Mus musculus: one gene and its partner. The protein of the gene in region 1 purifies or fractionates together with the protein of each later gene. This does not show direct contact. Links are inferred from orthologs where the notes say so. Each region holds a gene or a part of one and is shown in the gene's direction. Other genes may lie near its edges.

Region 1 (7,539 bases):
AACTCGTTCCTGTCTTATGTCCTTCTCTTAGAATCCCTGCGAGAGCCTCCGAGGACATCCTGCCGGGATGACGTACGCTGCCAACATCCTACCTCACCATCCCGCTCGAGGCACGTTTGAGGACTTTACCTGCTAAGCCCTCGCCAGCCGCTGTACCAAAGGCCTAGGTGGGGAGGGCTGGGGGAGCAAGGGGTACCTAACTGCCCCCAGCTACCCTGGGGACTTAAACTGCATCCCTGGGCAGTGGTTCCCTCTTGTCTGTGGTGAGAAAGGAGTCTTGACCAGAGTCCTCTCCCAGCCTCTATCTCATCTTTTTATTTTAACAAAATTAAACTAATATAAAGAGAGAGAGAGAGAGAGAGAGAGAGAGAGAGAGAGAGAGATCAGCCGCGACCTCAGGCTGCCCCTCTGCTCCACGCTGCCGCCCCCAGCTCCAAGCCTGAATTCTGTCTGTCTGGCTGTATGTCATCTGAGTGTCCACCTACATTCTGCTGCCTCCAGTCACCAAAGCCCCCTCCTAGTGAGGGGTGGAGGGGATCTCTAGGGTCTGAAATTTGGCCCCAAACCAGAGAATGTACCTTAAGGGAGAGGGCTGGTGTGGGGGCTTCCCTAGCCTTAAGAGATGCTCTCAGCCGGGTGACTCCCCACGAGCCCAAGTCTCCAGGTAAGGACTCCGTGCCCAGTTACTGCTCCCTCAAGCATACGGAATCTTTACGGGGCAGAGGATTTCCTGAAGAAGTAGAGATTGGGACTCCATGTGGCCCTGGTGCTGTAGGCCACATCCCAATATCTGTAAGTCACCTCCACCCCAAAGCTGCTGGAGAGAGATCCCAAGAGGCAACCCTCTGTGACATCCCCCAGAAGACCTGGCTGGTTAGCGCCCGGCTCAGGGAGAGGGGCACGGCCGCCTGACCTCACTGGCTTCTCTCTCAGAGGCCTTTGCAGAAGGCCACATCCATAAATTTTCTTATGGAACAATCCCAAGTCCTCTTCCCCGACGTCATCCGCTTCTCTCGGCAACCTCATCTGCATTTTCTATTTCTATATGATACAGACTCTATATTACTATAACCTTGTATATACTCCCCTCCGGCCCTGTTTGTCTCCCCCTCCATTCCCTCTTGTCTCCAAGAACCGCCCTCCCGCCCCTAGTTCTCCCTTCTGTCTCTCCCCCATTCTCCTGTCTCTGAATGCCTTTGCCCGTATAAAGAGCTGGATTCTCCCCTGGTGTCTGTACTGTACTGTGTACACACATCCCTCTGAGAAGCACAAGGAGATGACACGCGCATTGTAACCTTCGCACTGTCTCGGTGGCGACATAAAGGAAGCTGTGAATTACAAGCTCTGCCTCTTTCTGGCCTCGCCCTTTGCCCCCACGACCGGGGCACCCTCTGCCCTCCCCACAGCCTTAACATACCCTCTACCTTGCTCCACCTATCCCAGTGCCCTTTGCCTGGCTGACTGTGGCCTCCCTGAGGGAAGTGACTGCTGGAGAGGTAGCTCCTACCCAGGAATGGAGGACACTAAGCGGAGAGAGTTACAGACGGGAGGTGGGGAGGGAGGCTGGGGATTGGTGACTCCCTCTTGCAGCTGGGCGGTGGGTACCCACAGCCAGAAGCCGGAGCCCTGACTCAGTGGCCTTTCTTTCTTCGGGGTGCCCAGGGCCCAGTCCTCACCTTGATGCCCAGGCCCACCGCTTGCATTTTCTGGTGAGTCAGGGCGTGGTCACATGAGGAAAGAGATTGGCCTAGAGCAGAAGTTGAAAGACGTGCTGTTGTGTGTCCCTACCCTAAGGGGGCCACAAGGTGAGGTAGAGGGCCTCCTCAACCAGACACCCTTCCCAGGCCAGCTCTCCAATCTCATTCCTGGCCTTCTCTGTCCCCACTGTCTCTTGGTCTCTAATCCCAAAACAGGACTTATGGGCAGATCACCTGTGTACGTTGGCCTGGAGCCAGAGAGCAAGGCTTTGGCATCTTTGAGACCTCTTGGTTCTCAAGAGTTGTTTAGAGATCAGAACTCCCCAGAAAGAAACAGGGCAAAGCTGAGAAATGTACACTGGCTGGGGGGGCAGCAGGAGGGGCTCTGGGTGACGCATGCCTCTGGTCTAATAAACTGGGTTTCAACCATCTCTTCAGTGTTGGTTTTCTGTTTGTTGTTTGGTTTGTTTTGAGACAGGGTTTCTCTGTGTAGCCCTGGCTGTCCTGGAACGGCTCTGTAGTCCAGGCTGGCCTCGAACTCTCACAGAGATCCTCCTGCCTCCCAAAATGCTGGGATTAAAAGCCTGAGCTGCCATTATCCTGCCCAGTGCTGTTTTTAGTTGCAAACTGTGGGTGTTACCTTTAGAATGGAGCTTGCCTTGAGAGCCACACAACTAGAGTAAGGGAATTTGAGTGGTAGCCCGGTGTGGTGGTTATACCTGTAATTCCAGCAGGTAGGAGATGGAGCAGCTATCTTCCATTACACAGTGAGTTTAACGCTAGATTGGGCTACACCAGACCCTACATACTTGATCAGGTAAACACTGATCCTGCTGGGAAAAGACAGGCTCAGGATTCGTCTGATCACTGGGCAGGGGACCAGCAGTTATCTATGGCAACAAATATCCAGGACTCTTTGGAGAAAAGTCACGGGAAAAAACGCATCAAAATCTTAAGTTAAACGTCTGAGGTGAAGGGTCCCGAGCCTTCTCTGTGTATCCCTGGCTGTCCTGGAACTCACTCTGTAGACCAGGCTGGCCTCGAACTCAGAAATCCGCCTGCCTCTGCCTCCCAAGTGCTGGGATTAAAGGCGTGCGCCACCACGGCCCGGCATGGGTTTTCTCTTGCTGATTTGTCTTTGCCACGACATTGATCTCCTTCGAGTTCTACTTTTCCCGAACGAACAAACAGCACGTTTTCCTCTTTAGTACCCGGAGTCTGAGCAGTAGGAGAACGAAAAGCAAGGCAACCAGAATGCTTTGGAGAGGTAAATGCACTGGGCCAAGGTGAAGCATCACTCCAGCCGCCAGCCGGATGGGCTGGGCTCTCTGCAAGGCTTTTTACCGTCCTCCAACCGCGTGGAGGCGCTCGCTCCCGGCACCTCTTTATCCGCACACCGCTTCTCTATGGTGCTCCCTCCTGGCCCGTGAAGGCGGGAGGGAGTGGTCAGCACGCCTTTCCCGCTAGTCGCCCCCTCTAGCCCGTAGTCTCGCTGCTCCGAGCCGCCTGTGCCCGCCGGCGGGCCGGGCCCACAAACAGCCCAGGCGCTCGGGGGGCGCGCGGGGGGCGGGGGGAGTTCCGGTTCCGGTTCTTTGTGCAGCTGCAGCGGCGGCTCCGGGAAGATGGCGGCCCGGGCGGGTTTCCAGTCTGTGGCTCCGAGCGGCGGCGCGGGAGCCTCAGGAGGAGCGGGCGTGGCGGCTGCTCTGGGCCCGGGCGGAACTCCCGGGCCTCCCGTGCGAATGGGCCCGGCGCCGGGTCAAGGGCTGTACCGCTCTCCGATGCCCGGGGCGGCCTATCCGGTGAGTGGGACAGGAGGAGGGGCGCGCGGGCCGGGGGCGGGGCCGAGCGAGGGCGGAGGACTGACAGGGGTGAGGGAGAAGTGGGAGGGACTCCCTGGGGAGGGGCTCGGGCCGGGAGTGGAGGTGTGTGGGGGGGGAGGAGGTTAGCATCCTTACCTGCTCCTGGCGGCATTGTTTCCATGTGAGGAGTGAGTGTGGAACCAGGGTGGGCGAAGTGGGCCCTGGGATGGTCATGGAATGCAGAGGGGAGTGGGCAGCCCCCGTGTCCCCAGGAATACCCAGGCTGTTATAGCTGCAAATGGAGGTCAGCTTTAGAGGAGACAGTAGCTAGTAAAAAAAGAAATGTAGGGCTGACTAGACATGTCTGGTGAGTCAGATCCAGCATAGACCAGAAAAATTGAGTATAATCTAGTTTTTAGACTATATGCAATGAAATCACTGAAGGTCCAGTGACTGTATTTCAAAGAAGCAAAGGACTGTCTTGTTGTCCCCCCACCCCACCCCCAGCCCTAACCCACTCCTGAAATCCAGGCTGCCACCATTTTTCCTTTCTTGGTGGGGCTAGCAAGGAAAAGTATGACATTTCTGGGTCCTCTCCCTTCTGTAGAGACCAGGTATGCTGCCAGGTAGCCGAATGACACCTCAGGGACCTTCCATGGGACCTCCTGGCTATGGGGGGAACCCTTCAGTCCGACCTGGTCTGGCCCAGTCAGGGATGGACCAGTCCCGCAAGAGACCTGCACCTCAACAGATCCAGCAGGTCCAGCAGCAGGCGGTCCAAAATCGAAATCACAAGTAAGATGACCCCTGGGGGTGAAGGAAAGAAGGGTATGGGGGAGAGGAGGCCTGTGAGGATGCTGGTGGTGGGCATGCAGAACCAGGAAGTCAGCGCTGTGGCACCAAACGGTGCTGCAGGGACTAACAGGGCCTCATGATGCAGTGGAGTTTTGGTGGTCATGGGAGAGGTAGCGTCTTTAAATGGAGAGTCATTTCGTAGGCCTTGGCTGTAACCATAAACAAAGGTGCTCACAACACTGCTCACGTTCTGACTAGTTCCTATCCCAACCTGATCACAGTATTTATTCTGAACAGTGCAAAGAAAAAGAAGATGGCTGACAAAATCCTACCTCAAAGGGTGAGTGCAGCTGCAGAGGTCTCCTTGAAGGGGTAGTGGCTTTGAGAATAGAAGTGGTCAGAACGAGGGCTGCCCCATCCCATCTCTGTCTTTCTGTTCCTAAGATTCGGGAACTGGTCCCAGAATCACAGGCCTACATGGATCTCCTGGCTTTTGAAAGGAAACTGGACCAGACTATTATGAGGAAGCGGCTAGATATCCAGGAGGCCTTGAAACGTCCCATCAAGGTAACAGGACAGTACCAGGCTGAGGGTCAAGGGAGGGGCCCAGGTCTCTCTCCAGCTCAGGATGGAAAAATCAAAGGCACAGCACAGCTCTCTGTGGCATTTAAATTGCATCTTTCCCTTCCGCCTACAAACCAGGAATTACATTAGGAGCATAGGAGTCTAACAGCTGGCAGGGAAAGGGGCGGGGGTGGGGGGTTGGGGGGGAGCTATCCAGGGCTCTAGACAGAAATAGACCCGTGCGCGCTTTTTGCTGTAACCACTTGCTACCTTGGGAACATGCCACTTTGCACAATTTTGTCTCCCTAGTCCCCTGGTGCATTCACTTGCACCCAGGCTCAGGTCGGGACTGTACACTTCCGAGTGGAGTCTCTGTCCCCTGTAGTGAGCCAGCCAGTGAGGAGTCACTTGGGAGTTTTAGGGGACCTTTACTACCGAAGCTCCACTGTCGATCCTGTTTCTGCCTTCCTCAGCAAAAACGGAAGCTGCGAATTTTCATTTCTAACACGTTCAATCCGGCTAAGTCGGACGCGGAGGATGGGGAAGGGACGGTGGCTTCCTGGGAGCTCCGGGTAGAAGGCCGGCTCCTGGAGGACGTGAGTTCAAGGTCCACTGTGGTTGGTGCTCAGGGAGGGAGCTGCAGGGGTGGCACTGTGCCGGGTGCTTGGTGCGGTGTGCTCAGCAGGAAACCTGACTGCAGTTCACCACTCCTGCTGGGAGCTTCCGGGAGGGGGCTGGGGGGCTGTGTTCCCTGCATACAAAGACAATGGTCCTTTGTGTCTGCTTCCTCAGCTGCACGGTTTTGTCCTGGGGTCTGGGTTGCTGTTGACTTGGCCCTGGTGATGCTGCCCTTTGGATTTAGCAGTATCAGTGGATGATCTCAGTGGTCCCCATCCCTGCCCGCCACCCATCTGTGCTGAGCCTTTGAGGCCATGTTTCCTCCCTTGAATCCTTGAGGTTATTTCTGTGTTCCCAACTTTCCTTGGAGGTACCACAGTTTAAGTGTGAGAGTCCCCCAAAGGCTTGGCTCTCTGTTGCTCCAAGGGGATCATCAGACTAATGAGCACCCCCAAACTCTCCACCCAGCAGCTCATGCTCACCCAGTGCTGCGCTCTGGCACTATATTTAGCTGTGCAAGTGAGCTCGTTCGAGTGCACTTTTGCTGGAGAACCAGAGCCTCCTGTGGGTAGTCCGGGCTGTTTGCTGGTCATGTGTTCTGTCCAGATAAAGGCAGATTTTGTTCCACTGCCTTTTGCCTGTGATTCATTTGCCCTCTGCTGCCAGGCTCTTCTCTGTTCCAGTGTGCTTTGTTGTGTTAATGGTCGGGCTTAACTTGCCTCCCTTCTCAGTCGGAAGTCGGAGACCCTGCCATTGTTAGTGCACTGCTGTGGCCAGGACTGACTTAGTGGCTGCCTAGCCATAACCAGAAGATATTTCCCCAGTGGAGTTAGAAATTGCTTCTTTTTTTTTTTTTTTTTTTTTTTTAGATTTATTTATTTATTTATTTATTTATTTATTATATGTAAGTACACTGTAGCTGTCTTCAGACAGCTACAGAAGAGGGCGTCAGATCTCATTATGGGTGGTTGTGAGCCACCATGTGGTTGCTGGGATTTGAACTTCGGACCTTCGGAAGAGCAGTCGGGTGCTCTTACCCACTGAGCCATCTCACCAGCCCTAGAAATTGCTTCTTAAGGAACTCCATCCTGGGGACTTCTTTCTGGCCTTGTGTAACAACACACTCCACCCACTCCCCATCTCTTTTCTAGGCGGCCTTGTCCAAATATGACGCCACCAAGCAAAAGAGAAAGTTCTCTTCCTTTTTTAAGTCCTTGGTGATCGAACTGGACAAAGACCTCTATGGCCCAGACAACCATCTGGTAGAAGTGAGTAGTTCTGCCTTCCAGGCCTTAACATTTTCAGGGGATGATTAGCCCAGGTTCACACATTGGCCTCTAGGCGGCGCTAGCTGTGCTGAGTTGGGCCCCAGGAGCTCTTGGTAACTGATTTGACTCACTTGTTGCTGTCCAGACTGCTGCCCCCAAAGAGATCTTGGTAGAGTGGAGTCCTTACACTTTCAACTGTCTCTGCGTCTTCCTTTAAGTATTGGTGGGCTGTAGTAACTGACGTGTTTTATTTTCTTGATAGCAGTTTCTGTAGCTAATGGGTGACTCGTAGACTAATAGAGCACTAGCTTGTCTGGGTTACTGATCTGTACCTTCCTCTTGGCCCCTGATCCTTTAGATTTATCCTTCAGACAGCCAGGAACACTTAACGCCTGGTTGTACAATGCTTCAAAGACTGTTAGCTGTTAGCAACAGGGTTGTGGGGACATAAACTAGAGTGGCCTAGTGCTCTCTGGGGACTTAACCTGCCCCTTTCTTTACCACCGTAGCTGCAGCCCCTTATCTCCAGCCACTAAGAGACATGGGAAGTAAGTCACAGAGTTGGTAGAAATCTGTAAAGTGCTTGATTTGATAGCATAGCAGTAGTGTAGAGTAGCTAGACCTGTGGCCTAGAGTCAGCTCAAGTTCTAGCTCTGTAACGTACTGAATGTAGTGTGTCGTAGACTCATAGACAGCTTAGCCCTCAGTAAATTGAAGCTTAGGTTTCTTTTTTTTTTTTTTTTTTTTTTTTTTTTTTTTTAATATCCAAAACGTGTTTATTGGGAAGGTTCCCACTCA
Region 2 (4,027 bases), on another chromosome or scaffold:
AGGGCTGAGGCACAAAAAAGGTCTCTGCCACACCTACTCTGTGCCCAGTCTTTTTTTTTTTTTTTTTTTTGGTTTTTCGAGACAGGGTTTCTTTGTTTAGCCCTGGCTGTCCTGGGCTAAACTTTGTAGACCAGGTGCTTCTACCAGTCTTAAGAATGAGCCTTAACCCTTGCAAGCCTTACCCTTGGTTCAAGGAAAGCATGCAGTCACACCCCAGACCCTGGCTTTTTCAAAGACCCCGTAAGCTTTCTACATTCAGCTCCAAGTACCATTATTCTCTTTAAACAACAACGACAACACCGGCAGCATTCATCTTCCCCCTTCCCCAGCCCTGGCCTTCTCGGGTACTCACAGGAATCAGGACACTAGTGTGTAATCTTTCTGAATCCTTCGGGGTATATTCTAGAGCTTTCTGTCATTAGGAAGGTGATGTGTCTTCTGAGTATACCTAGTGACTCTACACAGGACCCTGTGTTCATGCGCAAGAATTTCTGTAACAAGTCTGATAGGCAACATGGGAATGAGTCAAACAACCTACCAGGGGTTATACGCATGCCTTACAGGGAGCACAAGCCTAGCACATCAGAAAACAAGGACGTAACCTGGGAATACTTGTTTTTGAGGCGCTAGTGTTTAAACTCAAGATAGGCTATGGCTGTATTGTGGAGCCACGCCCCCAGCCCCTCACTGGAGGATTCTAGGCAGAGGCTCTACCACTGAGCCACGCCCCCAGCCCCTCACTGGAGGATTCTAGGCAAGGGTCTACCACTGAGCCACACTCTAATACTGTTTTGTTTTAGACTTCATTTTTCTAAAACCAGGATCTCACTAAGTGCCAGGCCGGCTTCTGTACTGCAGATCCTCCCTGTCTGTCTTCTGAGAAGCCAGGATGGCAGATGTAGACCACTACACCCGGCTTGGGACTGCACTTTTTTAAAATAAAATATTTATTTATTGTATTTATGAGTACACTGTAGCTGTCTTCAGACGCACCAGAAGAGGGCATCAGATCCCATTACAGATGGTTGTGAGCCACCTGGGAATTGAACTCTGGATGTTGAAAAAGCAGTCAGTGCTTAGAGGTTAAGAGCATCTCTCTAGCCCCATAAGGACGTACTTTTTGTTTTAACTTTTTTTTTTTTTTAGATTTATTTTACTTATTTTATGTTTCTGAGTACACTGTAGCTATACTGATGGTTGTGAGCCATCATGTGGTTGCTGGGAATAAAGGTTGCTCGCTTTGTTTGACCCCACTCACTCTGGTCCTAGACACTCTGGCCTAAAGATGTATTTATTATTATATGTAAGTACACTGTAGCTGTCTTCAGATGCACCAGAAGAGGGCGTCAGATCTCATTACAGGTGGTTGTGAGCTACCCTGTGTTTGCTGGGATTTGAACTCGGGCTTTTCAGAAGATCAGTCAGTGCTCTTTTAACCGCTGAGCACTCTCTCCAGCCCTGTTTTAAATTCTTATTGTTCATTTCACACACATGTAACCTTGGTTGAGCCGTGAAGCTTTAGGGGGTGGTTCGGGGGCTGTTCGTAAAGGGAGCCTGCAGAGTGAGTGGCCCGAGAATCAGCTCAGTCCAGACCTTCCTAATGCAGCCACCCTTTAATACAGTTCCTGACACCCAACCATAAAATTATTTTCATTGCTAGCTACTTCATAGCTGTAACTTTGCTACTGTTATGTATTGTAATGTAAATGCCTGATATGCATGATATTTGATGTACAACCCCTATGAAAGGGTTGTTCAAACCCCACAGGAATTGCCAGTCACAGGTTGAGAACCACTGGTCTAGACTCAGTCTGGACCAGAAGATAAGATGGTCAGTGTACAAGTACCTCCGTCATCTTAGATAACGACCCCATGGTTTCTTTTGTCCCAACTCTACAGATGAGTACGTGTCTTCCTCCCGCTCCCTTGGCTTCCCTGTCCCAGTGTCTTCCGAGGGCCACCGGCTCCCCAGCCATGGCCAGTCGTCTTCATCCTCCACATCTGGAACGTCTGCCCAGCCCCCTCCTCATCTGCCCACCAAGCTAGTGATCCGGCACGGTGGGGCCGGCGGCTCTCCCTCAGTGACCTGGGCCCGGGCATCCTCCTCCTTGTCATCCACTTCCTCATCCTCCTCCTCATCCTCTGCTGCCTCATCCCTGGACGCAGATGAGGACGGCCCCATGCCCACCCGTAACCGGCCACCCATCAAGACCTATGAGGCCCGGAGCCGCATTGGTCTCAAACTCAAGATCAAACAAGAGGCGGGGCTCAGCAAGGTGGTGCACAACACTGCACTGGATCCTGTGCATCAGCCCTTGCCGGCTCCAACCCCAGCGAAAGGGGCGGAGCCTCCGCCACACCCAGCTCCGCCCCCACTCCCTCCTGCTACCCAGGCGCAGATGAATGGCACTCTGGACCATCCCCCACCCGCAGTACGCAAACCCACGGTGCCTGCGTCCTGCCCACGTCTACCACTACGCAAGACCTACCGAGAAAACATGGGCAATCCTGGTGCCGCCGAGGGTGCACAGGGACGGCCGCGGGGTGCGGGCAGCCCCACCCCACTGCCCACCAAGGTAGACGAAGCCACCAGTGGGCTGATCCGGGAGCTGGCAGCGGTGGAGGATGAACTATATCAGCGGGTTCTGAAGGGCGGCCCACCACCCCCGGAGACTCCAGCCTCCGCTACCAGCCAGGGCCCCACTGAACCCAGTTGGGAAGCACCCGTGCTACCCCCAGCCAAACGACGCAAGTCTGAGTCCCCGGACGTGGACCAGGCCAGCTTCTCTAGTGACAGCCCGCAGGATGATACACTTACTGAGCATTTGCAGAGTGCCATCGACAGCATCCTTAACCTGCAGCAGGCCCCCGGCCGGACACCCGCAGGCCCATACCCCCATACGGGGCCCACGCCTGGCACCCCCACATCCCCAGCGCCCCTGCACAGGCCTGACGCCTTCCCACCCTCTAGTCACAATGGTGGCCTCGGTGCCAGGACGTTGAACAGATAACACCGGGCTGCTTCTGCAGCCCTCATAGAGTGCCCCCAACCCCACTTCCAGGAGAGCAGCCTGACCGCCGACCTCCACCTCTAAGGGGCACTAACCCAGTTCCCCTGACAATTCTTGCCTAAGTTATTTTGAGTCACAAAGGCCTCCCCACCTTCCTGCTTCCACGTTGGCTAGAGATTTGGAATGGGGCGTGGGTTTTCTAGGGGAAGGTGGGCTATAAGGTACAACGTCCCCCTGGCACAAGCCAGGACAGGGGATACATGAGTGTTGCCTAGGACTGGGCTTCTAGGTTGATGCACTGGTAACATCTGAAAACAAGGTCTTGTCTGATTGGCTTCGTGGATCACTGTCCGGGGCACTCAGAGCCGGGAGAGATCTTCTGAAAGGCTCAACTCTCATCCTGTTGCCCACAGAGCCTGAAAGATTAGGAAGCAAGGACTCAAGCCAGTGTCCCAAAGTACCTACATCCCATCCATACGTGCACTCACCGGAGTCATCCTGTGTATGTGTGCGTGCACGAGAGAGAGAGAGAGAGAGAGAGAGAGAGAGAGAGAGAGAGAGAGAGAGAGAGAGGTACCTGCATCCCATCCATACGTGCACTCACCGGAGTCATCCTGTGTATGTGTGCGTGCACGAGAGAGAGAGAGAGAGAGAGAGAGAGAGAGAGAGAGGACCTGCATCCCATCCATACGTGCATTCACCTGAGTCATCCTGTGTGTGTGTGTGTGTGCGCGCGCGCGTGCATGAGAGAGAGAGAGAGGGGGGTACCTGCATCCCATCCATACGTGCATTCACCTGAGTCATCCTGTGTGTGTGTGTGCGCGCGCGCGCGCGCGTGCATGAGAGAGAGAGAGCGCCCCCCCCCCCATCCCTCCAGAGGAACAAGACACGGGGTCGTCCTTCCTTCTCCCAAGCAGTCTTCCCTGTATTCTTCTTGCCTCCAGCCCACCACGCCACGTTTTGAAATTTCGGAGACAAAACTAGTACTGTAAGATAAAGATTTTTTTTGTACTGTA

What was found.
Region 2: the proteins of Smarcd1 (region 1) and Bicra purify together in Homo sapiens (affinity purification with mass spectrometry; 5 studies listed by BioGRID and IntAct, counting the BioPlex papers as one, with this or other methods). This does not show direct contact. The link is inferred for Mus musculus from reciprocal best matches to the Homo sapiens genes SMARCD1 and BICRA.

The regions. Positions count from the first base shown.
Region 1 is NC_000081.6:99,699,003-99,706,541, forward strand, and holds the start of Smarcd1 (SWI/SNF-related matrix-associated actin-dependent regulator of chromatin subfamily D member 1), read left to right. Parts: upstream 1-3,284; 5' UTR 3,285-3,319; coding exon 3,320-3,496; exon of another isoform or gene 3,497-3,788; intron 3,789-4,103; coding exon 4,104-4,291; exon of another isoform or gene 4,292-4,500; intron 4,501-4,588; coding exon 4,589-4,631; exon of another isoform or gene 4,632-4,735; coding exon 4,736-4,858; intron 4,859-5,328; coding exon 5,329-5,451; intron 5,452-6,624; coding exon 6,625-6,741; intron 6,742-7,502; exon of another isoform or gene 7,503-7,539. Other genes in the region: Asic1 (acid-sensing ion channel 1), read left to right, coding at 32-136. UniProt on the Homo sapiens protein: Involved in transcriptional activation and repression of select genes by chromatin remodeling (alteration of DNA-nucleosome topology).
Region 2 is NC_000073.6:15,970,762-15,974,788, reverse strand, and holds the end of Bicra (BRD4-interacting chromatin-remodeling complex-associated protein), read left to right. Parts: intron 1-1,899; coding exon 1,900-3,011; 3' UTR 3,012-3,527; downstream 3,528-4,027. UniProt on the Homo sapiens protein: Component of SWI/SNF chromatin remodeling subcomplex GBAF that carries out key enzymatic activities, changing chromatin structure by altering DNA-histone contacts within a nucleosome in an ATP-dependent manner.